Linked DNA regions of Oreochromis niloticus. The protein of the gene in region 1 interacts with the protein of each later gene in a pairwise test. Links are inferred from orthologs where the notes say so. Each region holds a gene or a part of one and is shown in the gene's direction. Other genes may lie near its edges.

Region 1 (6,919 bases):
ATACTTTTCCTGTAATCTGAGGTCAAAGATTTGAATATATAGAGTACAGTAGAGTAAAATGTGCAAAGTTTACTATCAATTTCTCAAAAACCGTACAGTAAACTTGTCTGTGGATGACAGGGTGAAGAATGGGGGTCACCTAGAGTCAGAATCCAGTGAAATATCTGCGTCACCTCTTACAGTTTCCTGTAATCTGAGGTCAAAGATGGGAATATATATAGTACAGTACAGTAAATAGTGCAAAGTTTACTATCAATTTTCAGGAAAACCGTACAGTAAATTTGTCTGTGGATCACAGGGTGAAGAGTGGAGATGGCCTAGAGTCAGAATCCAGTGAAATATCTGCGTCACCTCTTACAGTTTCCTGTAATCTGAGGTGAAAGATGGGAATATATAGAGTACAGTAGAGTAAAATGTGCAAAGTTTACTATCAATTTTCAGGAAAACCGTACAGTAAATTCGGCTGTGGATCACAGGGTGAAGAGTGGAGATGGCCTAGAGTCAGAATCCAGTGAGATATCAGTGTCACCTCTTATACTTTTCCTGTAATCTGAGGTCAAAGATTTGAATATATAGAGTACAGTAGAGTAAAATGTGCAAAGTTTACTATCAATTTTCTCAAAAACCGTACAGTAAACTTGTCTGTGGATGACAGGGTGAAGAGTGGGGGTCACCTAGAGTCAGAATCCAGTGAAATATCTGCGTCACCTCTTACAGTTTTCCTGTAATCTGAGGTCAAAGATGGGAATATATAGAGTACAGTAGAGTAAAATGTGCAAAGTTTACTATCACTTTTCTCAAAAACCGTACAGTAAACTTGTCTGTGGATGACAGGGTGAAGAGTGGGGGTCACCTAGAGTCAGAATCCAGTGAAATATCTGCGTCACCTCTTACAGTTTTCCTGTAATCTGAGGTCAAAGATGGGAATATATATAGTACAGTACAGTAAATAGTGCAAAGTTTACTATCAATTTTCAGGAAAACCGTACAGTAAATTTGTCTGTGGATCACAGGGTGAAGAGTGGAGATGACCTAGAGTCAGAATCCAGTGAAATATCTGCGTCACCTCTTACAGTTTTCCTGTAATCTGAGGTGAAAGATGGGAATATATAGAGTACAGTAGAGTAAAATGTGCAAAGTTTACTATCAATTTTCAGGAAAACCGTACAGTAAATTCGGCTGTGGATCACAGGGTGAAGAGTGGAGATGGCCTAGAGTCAGAATCCAGTGAGATATCAGTGTCACCTCTTATACTTTTCCTGTAATCTGAGGTCAAAGATTTGAATATATAGAGTACAGTAGAGTAAAATGTGCAAAGTTTACTATCAATTTTCTCAAAAACCGTACAGTAAACTTGTCTGTGGATGACAGGGTGAAGAATGGGGGTCACCTAGAGTCAGAATCCAGTGAAATATCTGCGTCACCTCTTACAGTTTCCTGTAATCTGAGGTCAAAGATGGGAATATATATAGTACAGTACAGTAAATAGTGCAAAGTTTACTATCAATTTTCAGGAAAACCGTACAGTAAATTTGTCTGTGGATCACAGGGTGAAGAGTGGAGATGGCCTAGAGTCAGAATCCAGTGAAATATCTGCGTCACCTCTTACAGTTTTCCTGTAATCTGAGGTGAAAGATGGGAATATATAGAGTACAGTAGAGTAAAATGTGCAAAGTTTACTATCAATTTTCAGGAAAACCGTACAGTAAATTCGGCTGTGGATCACAGGGTGAAGAGTGGAGATGGCCTAGAGTCAGAATCCAGTGAGATATCAGTGTCACCTCTTATACTTTTCCTGTAATCTGAGGTCAAAGATTTGAATATATAGAGTACAGTAGAGTAAAATGTGCAAAGTTTACTATCAATTTTCTCAAAAACCGTACAGTAAACTTGTCTGTGGATGACAGGGTGAAGAGTGGGGGTCACCTAGAGTCAGAATCCAGTGAAATATCTGCGTCACCTCTTACAGTTTTCCTGTAATCTGAGGTCAAAGATGGGAATATATAGAGTACAGTAGAGTAAAATGTGCAAAGTTTACTATCACTTTTCTCAAAAACCGTACAGTAAACTTGTCTGTGGATGACAGGGTGAAGAGTGGGGGTCACCTAGAGTCAGAATCCAGTGAAATATCTGCGTCACCTCTTACAGTTTTCCTGTAATCTGAGGTCAAAGATGGGAATATATATAGTACAGTACAGTAAATAGTGCAAAGTTTACTATCAATTTTCAGGAAAACCGTACAGTAAATTTGTCTGTGGATCACAGGGTGAAGAGTGGAGATGACCTAGAGTCAGAATCCAGTGAAATATCTGCGTCACCTCTTACAGTTTTCCTGTAATCTGAGGTGAAAGATGGGAATATATAGAGTACAGTAGAGTAAAATGTGCAAAGTTTACTATCAATTTTCAGGAAAACCGTACAGTAAATTCGGCTGTGGATCACAGGGTGAAGAGTGGAGATGGCCTAGAGTCAGAATCCAGTGAGATATCAGTGTCACCTCTTATACTTTTCCTGTAATCTGAGGTCAAAGATTTGAATATATAGAGTACAGTAGAGTAAAATGTGCAAAGTTTACTATCAATTTTCTCAAAAACCGTACAGTAAACTTGTCTGTGGATGACAGGGTGAAGAATGGGGGTCACCTAGAGTCAGAATCCAGTGAAATATCTGCGTCACCTCTTACAGTTTTCCTGTAATCTGAGGTCAAAGATGGGAATATATATAGTACAGTACAGTAAATAGTGCAAAGTTTACTATCAATTTTCAGGAAAACCGTACAGTAAATTTGTCTGTGGATCACAGGGTGAAGAGTGGAGATGGCCTAGAGTCAGAATCCAGTGAAATATCTGCGTCACCTCTTACAGTTTTCCTGTAATCTGAGGTGAAAGATGGGAATATATAGAGTACAGTAGAGTAAAATGTGCAAAGTTTACTATCAATTTTCAGGAAAACCGTACAGTAAATTCGGCTGTGGATCACAGGGTGAAGAGTGGAGATGGCCTAGAGTCAGAATCCAGTGAGATATCAGTGTCACCTCTTATACTTTTCCTGTAATCTGAGGTCAAAGATTTGAATATATAGAGTACAGTAGAGTAAAATGTGCAAAGTTTACTATCAATTTTCTCAAAAACCGTACAGTAAACTTGTCTGTGGATGACAGGGTGAAGAATGGGGGTCACCTAGAGTCAGAATCCAGTGAAATATCTGCGTCACCTCTTACAGTTTCCTGTAATCTGAGGTCAAAGATGGGAATATATAGAGTACAGTACAGTAAATAGTGCAAAGTTTACTATCAATTTTCAGGAAAACCGTACAGTAAATTTGTCTGTGGATCACAGGGTGAAGAGTGGAGATGGCCTAGAGTCAGAATCCAGTGAAATATCTGCGTCACCTCTTACAGTTTTCCTGTAATCTGAGGTGAAAGATGGGAATATATAGAGTACAGTAGAGTAATTTGGGTAAAGTTTACTATCACTTTTCAGGAAAACTGTACAGTAAATTTGTCTGTGGATCACAGGGTGAAGAGTGGGGGTCACCCACAGTCAGAATCCAGTGAAATATCTGCGTCACCTCTTACAGTTTTCCTGTAATCTGAGGTCAAAAATGAAGATACTATAAAAGTACAGTACTGTATATTGGTTAAATTTTATTGTTAATTTTCGCTGAATTGTACAGCAATTTTGGCTGTGGATCATGGGGTGAAAAGTGGAGATGAACCAAATTTGGGAGTGGATTGTAAAGTAATATAGTGTCAGGACACAAAAGACTGCGTTTCTTAGCCGGGCTTCATCCGTACCGTAATATACGTAAGAGTAGTGCAACCACATTTTAGGTGCGGCTGGCGGGGCGGCTAGCTTGACTGTGACTTCGTAAGTGAGGGCTCACTTGACCGCAGTGACGCGCCAAGCAGGTGCACCGGGAACCGGTTGTTTATTAAGAGCAATGGAAAGCTGCACAGGGAAAGTTCGGATAGATGATATATATAAATATCTCCCCAGTGACTCTCCAGACTGGGGAAATCCGCTAGTCCGCCAAAGGATTGTTCCAGAGTTTATCACACATCAAATTAATCGTCACTACTGTTTTAATGCGGCTCACCCACAGAAAAAAGATCCGCCAATTTTCCCTCGGCTAATCCGCACACTCAGTTCTGTTGTCACCTGTAGGATAGTCTGAATTCTTCTATGCCCACTGTGGAAAAACACGAGGCGTAATAGTTACATAATTCCAAAAACCGGGGATGTTGCTATCGAATGGTAAATAACGCCTCTGCAAACGATGATAATAATAATAAATAAAAGAGAATCTCTTAGAATGTCTGCGCTGTGACCTATGTGTTTTCTGACTATCATAAACATGTCAGCTTGTCCAGGGGCAAACTGAAGCCACAGTGGTTCAAAACAAAACAAAACAAAACAAAAAAACTTCATATCACCGTGTTGTTTGCAATGACTGTGAAAGTTCATCGTAAACAGGACTTGTAGTTTTTGCCCTTAGTGGTGATGCTGGATGTTGACAAGAAAAGGAGAAATTGGGAGTGGGTGGGGGGGATTTCTTGAAAGGTTGTAATCTTGCCCCACGTGGGGCTGTCAACAAGATCAGTTCGACTGCTCGGGGACTTTTTTTCGCTTTCCTCACCATAAGCTCCTCTGAGCCAATGGTAGGAGACAGGCTCGGAAAGACCGCCCCTTGCCGAGAAACGACGCCAAGTGCGGTATAAAGCCACCCACAGACCGTTCAGAGCTCAGAATAACGCAAGAGACTACACAGACAGCTACACAGCCTTTTCTTAACACTGCAACATCCCGATTGCGCTTGGATTATAACTATGACTCTGGAAGAGATTCACGGACAAGAGAACACAATGGAAAACGCTGATAGGTGAATATTTTACTCATCGATACAACGTTATTTAAGCTCCTGGATTAAAGCGCTGTAGCTGTTATTTTTGGGGAGGGTAATGTGATCAGTGTGCTGATGATGTATTTTTCTTTGTTAAGGGTGCAAAGTGCAGGCGCAGCCCTGGAGGAGCTGCTGATCGCTGCTAAGAAGCAGGACTACCTGACAGTTGGAGTTTACGAATCTGCAAAAGTCATGAATGTGTAAGTATTGCATTTCGTGCCACTTTCAGTTACATTTGCCCTTTAAAAAAAAGAAAAGAAAAAAAAAGTCGAGCACACGCAAAGCAGGATATGCACTAATCACCTTTCTTGTCTTTCCTACAGTGACCCAGACAGCGTGGCGTTCTGCATTCTCGCCACCGACGAGGAATACGAGTGTGACATTGCTCTTCAGATCCACTTCACTCTCATCCAGGCGTTCTGCTTTGACAACGACATCAACGTGGTGCGTGTCAATGATATCGACCGCCTGGCCGACCTCGTGGGTGCAGATGAAACAGGCGAGCCCAAGGACGCACACTGCATTCTTGTCACGGTACGTTCCCACTCAGTCAGGAGCTGGCAGCTAGTGAATCATGCATGCATCACTACGGTGTCTGACTTTTTTTTTTGCATGTCTTGTAGGTGTTGCCACTTTTCTGACTCTAAATATCTCCCTCTTTTTTTTAACAATTACAGAGCCCTAGTGCAAACCCATGGAAAGACCCTGCTCTGGACAAGCTGAGTGTGTTCTGTGAGGAAAGGCGCAGTGTGTATGACTGGGTGCCCACCATCACTCTCCCAGAGCGCTGAAGTGACACCCCCCTGCAGTTGCTTCACATGATTATGATGATGATGATGAAAAGAAAGTCAAGGAGCTGAGCTTCAGCTGGGGGGCCTCATGCCTTTCTGCCTCACATGTCTGGATTAAGAGGCTGTGGCTGTAACTCCCCCCTTCTGCAAGAGCACACTCTTCCAGTGCATCCTGGGTGAGCCCGTTGGTTCTGGATTACCCTGTGCAAGGGTTCAGAGCTCATGTGTGGACTTGTTCAGGTGTATGTGGAGTGGACAGAACGCCTGAAGGACACTGAGAATGGAGCTGGACTGTACTGCATAGTACATTAAAGATGGCAAATGGTGACCCAGTGACTGCCCTTTAACAGACACTGGTGGGACTAAGCAGAGAAGGTCACAGAGAGCGATACTTTGCAAGAGATGGACTTAAGAAAGTGGACTGGACTCGTCAGAGGGGGAACAAGTCAGGTGCAGATCCAGAAGAAGGCGTCTGAAAGTGTCTAAACAAAGGACTTTTCTTTATGAGTGCAGCTGTCAGGAAGTTCTTGGAATAAGCAGAAACTGCTTGCAAATCCTGATGTAAAGCTGACACTTTTTTTAATGGACTATTCAGTTTTCTTTCACATGCAGACAGAGCAATGCAGTATTGATTTGTATTGTACTGACTTGAAATGCTTTGTGAATAAACATTTGGAATCAAACTCATCTTCTCAGAAATCTCATTTTCTCCTTTGCATTTAGCTACACAGACATTAACTAACACCCAGGGTGCCACATAATGTGGGACGTCATGGCAGACTGCAATGATGCAGAGGTATCAGGAAAGTGTGGCGCTACTGGTTACAACTCTGCTTCACAAGAAGCTAATCGCACAATGTGGGTGGAAGGAAAGTAAAGATCAAATGATTGGGTGGCAGAGAGAGAGAGAGAGAGAGAGAGTAAAAGAAGAAAAGCGAAGCTAACAGTTATAACGTAATGATGATTGAAACGTGGGCTTTTTTGCAGGCACTGACCTTTTACTGCTGATAAACCAGCTGCCTTATAGCACAGTGCACAATTACTTAGGCTGGAACTGAAGCCTGTGTGTGTGTGGCTAACTAATACGTCAGTAGACAGTGAAGTTAGTTGTAGTTTAGTATATTCAAACAAAGTTGTTACAAATTAATTTAACATCACTCTTCTCATGCTTGATTTTTATTTTTAAAAAGTCAATTTTCAACAACTTAGGACTTATGCATAATACC
Region 2 (8,125 bases), on another chromosome or scaffold:
GCAGCCTACGTCTATTGCAGCATAACTAAGGGAGGATTCAGGGTCACCTGGTCCAGCCCTAACTATATGCTTTAGCAAAAAGGAAAGTTTTAAGCCTAATCTTGAAAGTAGAGATAGTGTCTGTCTCCCGAATCCAAACTGGAAGTTGGTTCCACAGAAGAGGGGCCTGAAAACTGAAGGCTCTGCCTCCCATTCTACTTTTAAATACTCTAGGAACAACAAGTAAGCCTGCAGTGTGAGAGCGAAGTGCTCTAATAGGGTGATATGGTACTACAAGGTCATTAAGATAAGATGGGGCCTGATTATTTAAGACCTTGTATGTGAGGAGCAGGATTTTGAATTCAATTCTGGATTTAACAGGAAGCCAATGAAGGGAAGCCAAAACAGGAGAAATATGCTCTCTCTTTCTAGTCCCTGTCAGTACTCTTGCTGCAGCATTTTGGATTAACTGAAGGCTTTTCAGCGAGTTTTTAGGACATCCTGATAATAGTGAATTACAGTAGTCCAGCCTGGAAGTAATAAATGCATGAACTAGTTTTTCAGCATCACTCTGAGACAGGATATTTCTAATTTTAGAGATGTTGCGCAAATGGAAGAAAGCAGTCTTACATATTTGTTTAATATGTGCGTTGAAGGACATGTCCTGGTCAAAAATGACTCCAAGGTTCCTCACAGCATTACTGGAGACCAAGGTAATGCCATCCAGAGTAAGAATCTGGTTAGAAGAAGAAGGAAGACAAGAGAAAACGCTCATGGAAGTAATCAAGGGGGACATTCAGAGGCTTGGTGTGAGAGAAGCGGATGCCAAGGATAGGGTTAGATGGAAACCGATGATCTGCTATAGCAGTCTTATAGGAAGAAGCCAAAAGAAGAACTAAAGCTCCCCCAATGATATGCAGTTTGTTTGCTAATTCAAAACCAACACAACAGACTAAATCATGCTAAAATGCTCCACAAAACTTAAGGACACTGCACAGTTGGATGACTACTATGTTCTCCCATGATATAACATTGAATGTTGTTTGTGCAAGAGGCCCCAAGAAGATGTGTGAAAAAGTGCTTGTAAACTGTGCACAGGTGCGCCTGTGTGGTAAACCACACTAAATCATTTTGTTGCCTAAACTTAGCCAACCAGAGTGAGAAAATAAAAGTAACACTGTTGTAGCTCCTAGCAGCTACTGCTAAAGAGCATGAATGGGGCACCCTGATTGGGGACAGGCGCTTCACTGAGTTTCACCGAGTTTCATGTCTCCATCTCGTGCACTATAGCACCATCACTCAGTTGAAGCTAGAGTAACCTTTATACCACCACCTAATGAGGTACTGTTATATTCCCTGTAGCAAGTTAACTTCAAAGCTCATGATATAGGTCAGATATGGGTCACGTTCAGTCTGGAAATAGCATACAACATTATGGCATGTTTAGCAACTGGCCTAAAGCTATGCTCTCTCTTGTTTGATGGTGATGTCTGTTTCACAATCAGCAGTGATACTAACATGAACCCTATTGTATTAAAACTGTACCGTAGATAGAACACCTGGAAATGCACCAGCTTTTCCAATCAAACATAAATAAATAAATACATTTCCATATCTGAATAAAGCCTTGGTGTATGAACTTTGTACTTCTTCTTGAGGTTGTCAAGTTCCATAATGTTCCCACTCAGGGCATTAAGCAACAACTCATTTTTCCTGCCAGTGCTTTTAACATGGTCAGCTCAAGTTGCCATGGTGACTGTGCCAGCTATATTGCTTGGCCCCCTCATTGCTGCCTGCAGCTATATTTCTATTTGTGACTGCAAGCAAGCCATTTTATACACAGTATTTCTGTGAGATGTCAAATATAGCAACTTTATGTACTGTGAAAGTTAAATGAACGTTAAATAAAACAGCATTTCTTGTATATCTCTTCCTCCATCACAAATGACGCAGTAAAAAGTAGCAGAAAGATTGGTACCAGCCATCAAGATGATTTGCGCCATGAACCGGATCTGTCCCTGTGTACCTGTGTGTTCTCCAGAGATATCACTTTGCGAATGCCCAGACACGTTTCTACTGGCAAGAGGAGAGAGGAGCTGTCACTCTTGGGAAATGCCAGGAATTCGAAGGGTAGGGTGGGAGGGAATTTCATCATGATAGGGCACAGCCTGGTGAGAGAAGGCATTGTTGGCACACCTCCTAATGCAATTAAAAACTGGGAGAACATCTGGCTGTCTGGTTTACCTCTTCCTTTGTTACACGGATCTATACAGCACTATACAGTGGTGTGATAAATCCTGTGGTGAACAGTGAGATAAAAGTATCTCCTTTCTGATCTGTGCTTCTTAACATTATGAATCAGCTCTTTTTTTTCAAACATGCCTGCCTCAGCTTTGATGACTGAGTTGGATGGAGGTGTTTAGGTAACACTCACACGGCATGATGATAACACTCAAACACCACTGTCTCTGTACTGAAAACCCTATCATTTGACTCACTTAACATGAGATAAGATTATGCTTTTGCTCACAAAAAATGTGCTTTTCGTCTCCCTCCAAAACTTGCTGGGTTGTATTGTTCAGCCGAGGAAGAAAGACACCTACACAGTGAACCTGCAGTGTGCTTTCATGTCAGATCGGGTGGAGAAATGGTTGTGTATCCAACATCTCCAAAGACAATAAGGAAAGGGGCTCTTCCAAGAATAATCCATCAGTTTTCAGTACATACGGATCTTTTGTGGAGTCACAGAGTCACTTTTTTTTTTCTCAAACTGCTTTGTCTGGCATGACTTACATCTTTATGGTTCTCCTTTGTTTTGCACTGCGGACTTGACCGGTAGTTTTCATTGTAATAAACACTAGGTTTTGTTTATCAATTACTGTGACTATTTCTGCCCCGAAGGCTTTAGCTTTTCAAAAACCTGAGATCCATCGCACCCAGCTGTAAAGTCGTGTGAATTTTACAACTCGGTGTGCTTTCACATCCCTCCTCTAACATCCACAGTTCTGTATGGGGTCAGATATTTACTGTTGAGGTCAAAGTTCAGATTTAGTCACCATCAGAACTCGTTTTCTTTTAGGCCATATCAGGCTTAACAGGATGAGTATGTGAGACTATTTTGGGAAAAGCTGGGAAGCACCATTTACGAGTGAGGAAGGGTCTGGCTTTTTTATCAATAGATTTTAGAAGGAGCTCATTAGTGCGGTGCTTTTCTTCACAAATACAATCCTGTGCAAAAGTCTAATCATTTCTTTATATTTAACTTACAAGAAATCCAGTCCTTTTACCGGACCATTTTTAGAGGAGTAGTTTTTGTTTGAAACACCACTTAACACTGACCTATGACTCATTTAAGCATAAAAAGACACCTAACTCAAGTGATGAACCATTGTTGTCTTTACTTAAAACAAGCAAATAAGCACTTTGTTACTAGCAGCTAATTGCAAACAGATGTAATTTGTTCCAATTCCTTTGGTTCAGTCTATGAAAATGCCAAAGATGTACAGTTTAATATGCAAAAGAAATCCCAATGAACTATCAGCTGAAAACCTGTTGTATGTCAGCATGGTGTGCAGTCTGTACTTAAAAAATCTGAGGAAACTGCACAGGTGGAGGACAAAAAAGAAATGACAGGCCTCAAAACTATCTGCGACAGAGTAACAGTATCTGATTAGCATTTCTGAGACATGCATCTGGCCCTTCAGTTGATCCATCTACTGTTTGCTTGAGCCTCAGCAGAAAAGTCTCAGAATGGTGGCTGTCATAAAATCATTCTTAAGGAAGGAAAACTTGGAGAAAAGCCTGAGGTATGCTAAATTATACAAGAACTGCACTGAAAATCAGAGGCAGCAGGTCTAATGGAGTCCATTCTTCCATTTTCTATCTGCTTATCCAATTCAGCTTATCCTGTTGCGGCTGAGCCTATCCCAGCTGTGCTAGGGTGAGAGGCAGGCTACACCCGGGACAGACACCAGTTTATCACAGGGCTAACACAAAGAGACAGACAAACATTCACACTCACATTCACGCTATGCCCTGTGGTACCTGTGTTTTTGATAAATGGCAGCACCTACATCAAATTATCCTAGCAAATATAACCAAATGAGGGTTATCTCAATACTTTTGCACAGTACTGTATATTTTTATTTAGCTACCAAAAGACAAAAAAACACACATTTTTGTATGAGTTAAATAACTAGTTAACTAGTCTCGATTAGCACAGATGGATCTTAAAACCATTCTCATCTAAGTCTGAACAAAAAAGTGAATGAGCTCCCCAAACAGAATCACAAAGGGGTGATGAGGGGTCACACTAGGATTCCAAACAACAGGTGATCTTATTTCTTGCACGCTTATGCTGTAACCCCAGTCTTCTGACATCATAGTGATACTTGTCCAGTCTTGTGCAAGAGGCTTCTTATAGTAAAAGCCTACACTTAGAAAAGCTAGTGTGTCATATTGTGGTTGTGGTTGTGTATTGAACTGCGTATGCTTCGGGGCTGTTTGTGCCACGTTACTGCCGCTGTGATTGAAGGCAGCATGTTGCATCGTGTTTGGCTGCCTGATTCTGCCTCAAGGCAGCAAATCCTCCACGTGTGACACTGAAAAGGTCTCAACTTGCCCTAATGACTACTCCACAGAATATCCTAAATCCTGCAACTTTTACTTGACATGTTAAAATGCCCCTATAACGTGGGGATTTCCACAGGCAGCTAAACTGGAACCTGTTTAGTGTGTAGCCACTAGTTAAAAGTTAATAATATAAAGAGAGAGGGAAAGAATGCAAAAGAATAAAGAATGAAAAGAAGAAGAGTTAGCTATTAGTGTGTGTGTTTACACAGCAAGCCTTTCCCAGGTGCTATACGATCCCTAGGATTACAGTGGAAGAAGGGGGATCAAACACATGCGCACACACGCAGAGCACCACCCTATACCCTGCCCCCCACTCACACAAAAAAAAAAGAAGCGAGAGGAGGGTAGACGGAGAGGGAGGTGCAGGGAGATAACAGATCCGATGGAGGAGGGGAGAGGTAAAGGGAGTGCGAATTCAGCAGATGGTAGCTCACCTCCACTACAGACTTCAGAGGACAGAGCACAAAGGGTGGCTTTGACTCTGGAGTATCTCCTGCAGTATCTCTTTTGTGTATGAATGAGCCAATTAGAGAATGGTGGGACTGTCATCCACTGCCCGTGAAGGTAAGTGTTTTGAAAAGAAAACAACATGTTGGTATATTAAAGCATCTGATGCTACAGGATTTGGGCATGCTGAGGGAAAGAGAGGTGTGTAAGCTGCGGGGATGTAAAGGTGCTAAAGGCATCGTGCCCTCAATCCGAACACTGTAGGAATCAGGTGATGTTTACTTCATGCCTTGAGGGCCATGCCAGCTCACTGAAATACAGAGAAAGGCAGAAATGTTGAATTGTTGAGAAAGCTGTGTTTGCTAGAGTCGTTAGTGAAACATTGTAATTTCTGAAGCCTCTGAAGACTCTTTGTGGGCTGCAAATTCTTGTTGGATAAGTTGGAATGTCTGCTTACAGTGATGTTGTGAAACAAAGCTGCCGCTGACTGTCTGAATCCTGTCACTTTCGACATACTGTTATATTAAGTTTGTTTACGTGTGTGTGTGTGTGTGTGTGTGCGTGCGTGTGTGTGTGTGTGTGGGGGGGGGGGGGTTGCATGGCAAGAAAAGAAGTCAGTTCAGCATGAGGGAAGTCTTTGGTACTTGGAGGGAGCGGGAGCTGAGAAAAATGGTGCAATCGAATGAGGTCAGATTATTCTTTAATTCCGACGTTGTTGGGCATGTTAGCACAGGTGCTAGACTCACTGAAATTATTCACCCATCATTCAACCTTACAGAGTTGGCACAGAAAGTCTACAAATGTAAGCTCCTTTTAAAGGCTGGAGTCTGCAGTGTTAAACAAATTACCCTCTCCACTTAACAAAGGTCTGCACACACACACACACACACACACACACACACACTGCAGAGTCTTGCACTATGAACAAGGCGAGGAATGTGTCCAGTGTTTAACAGCAATTGTTAAGCAAGTGTGAGGAAACCAAGTGTGTTCTAAGCTTTGACTGACTTTGCAGACCTGCACAATCTTTTTTCTCTGGTGTTTTAAGTCTTCTACTTTATGATTTTTTTTTTAAAGCTGAAAGTACACAAAGCTGAGAATAAAGTTATCCTTTGACCTTCTATGGAGACACATACATTGCTTTAACTATACTGAACCACATTCTCATCTATCACTGTAACATTACGGGAGCTTTTGCGTAATAAGTTAGAAGACATCGGTTACGCATCGCACTCAAACACACGCACGAGCAGTTGCAGCATAAATGCAAAAGATGACTCGCCGCTTTAGACGTGTGACGACACTCGTGCATGGTGTGTTGTTAATTATAAAGGAACAATGGGCGACTTAAGGGTGGTCTCACGAGCCGCAAGTGCCAAAAATGAGGAAGTAATTCCTTCTTGCTCGCCCTTGCACTGTAAACGTGAAATTGGGTAATCGGATTTTTAAGGAGTAAAATTGTGAAACCGTTTTAAGGAGTGAGGCGACCTACTTCACGCTAAATCCTTTGAAAGCATCGCCTCAATTTCTCTGTTGTATTATATGTAATATACTTGATTTAGTGCTGACTGGTGTAAATTTCAACTTCTCTCTGCAGAGAATGAGTCATGCTGTGGATACGGTTTTGTCTTACACTTAGGTTAGGGGAAGCCCAGTGCTACGCTAGAGCCAGAATCTAAACAGCTGGAACCTCTGGCAGAGTGACAGCGTTCACCAGGCCCACACATCCCACTCTCATGAGTTTCCTGTCCTTCCACTTCCTCATTTCTCTGCATGAATCAGATGTTAATGAGGACGCATTCCAGCTCACAGCATGAGTTAAATCCTCATGCCCGTTCCTCCGAGTGGGAGCGGGTGATTGTTACAATGGAAGGAAACCAGGCTGGTGCAGGAGACAAAGTGGTTAAACAGACACAGGCAAAAATACACCTACTGTAGCTGTTGTTGCTTTTGACCATAGCCTTGGCTGGGCATTGTTAAAACCCATAGGAAGACCCACCTAAGAAAAGTATGTCTGTCTTTAAGGAGTGGGAGCACCCTGAAATGTAGGACATACATCACTGACAAACAATAGATATTTTCTCCAGCTTATTTATTTTCTGCTTGTCAGAGGTGATTACATGCAAGTTCGCTGTGTTGGGGTCATACATTGAGACAGCCAACATTCTGCCTCAACTTATTAATGTGCTTTTTAGGCCTGCACACGATGGTGGTTCGAGTGCATTTTCTAGATAAGCAGACAAAAGTTAAGAGTTGACACACCTCGCTAAATGCACAACACATGAGCCTGCCTGTGCGTTTCGGGCTTGTGTGCACGTGTGTATGTGTCTGCCTCTGCCTGTGTTTGTGTGTGTGCTTAGCGCAACAGGTCTTGCTGCCATATGAGCGCACTCTGTACAAAGAGTTTTCTGGCTCAGCGGCTGTCCCGCGGCTGACCCTAGTAAGACGCACGGTTCACTAGGTCCAAGGGGACTGGACTGTGAAAATTGGCTAGGAGGGAGGGGAGAGAGTAAGAGATGGAGGGGAATGGGAAGTAGGGGGAGGCAGACAAGAATGCCAACAGTGACTCAGCCATTTGTTAGGTTTTGTTTTGTTTTGGGGTTTTTTACTGTGGATTTTAGGATTACAGAGGTAATAAACTGGGTGCTAGAATACAGTCAGTGGTTACAAACGAGCTAATGGAAACACCTCGGGTAGCTGAAACAAAAAGCATTGCTTGGTGGCACTGGCTTGCAGCAGGTTGCAAATCTTTTCTCAGGCTTGCAGCAGCTGGGGGGAGTGAGCTAGTTTATTTGAGTTTTGTTCTGAAAAACAGGGAGTGGACCTGTCTTACCTCTCAGATCAACTTATGATGTATGCGATATATCTGTTCCTACAATCTCGAGTCCAGAGGACCCAGAGAGCCCTGTGAAAGCCTGTTTAAGGCAGCTTGTGTTTTTCTAAGTCCGGCATTTCAGTTTCGCAACTGCTGGATAAAGATCGGGTCCTTGTGAATGAAGTTCTAGCTTCCTCATTTGGCTTGTTCTGAGCTCTCTAAAGTGCTCCTTAAGTTATTCCTGTTAGAGTC

Evidence for each region. The genes of interacting proteins can lie anywhere in the genome.
Region 2: the proteins of gadd45ga (region 1) and afap1l1a interact in binary tests that used the Homo sapiens proteins (3 or more experiments, as listed by UniProt). The two-hybrid records come from large-scale screens. The link is inferred for Oreochromis niloticus from reciprocal best matches to the Homo sapiens genes GADD45G and AFAP1L1.

What each region holds. Positions count from the first base shown.
Region 1 is NC_031977.2:23,400,723-23,407,641, forward strand, and holds gadd45ga (growth arrest and DNA-damage-inducible, gamma a), read left to right. Parts: upstream 1-4,720; 5' UTR 4,721-4,828; coding exon 4,829-4,881; intron 4,882-5,000; coding exon 5,001-5,102; intron 5,103-5,225; coding exon 5,226-5,436; intron 5,437-5,579; coding exon 5,580-5,693; 3' UTR 5,694-6,259; downstream 6,260-6,919. UniProt on the Homo sapiens protein: Involved in the regulation of growth and apoptosis. Mediates activation of stress-responsive MTK1/MEKK4 MAPKKK.
Region 2 is NC_031966.2:30,009,066-30,017,190, forward strand, and holds the start of afap1l1a (actin filament-associated protein 1-like 1), read left to right. Parts: upstream 1-4,980; 5' UTR 4,981-5,144; coding exon 5,145-5,175; intron 5,176-8,125. UniProt on the Homo sapiens protein: May be involved in podosome and invadosome formation.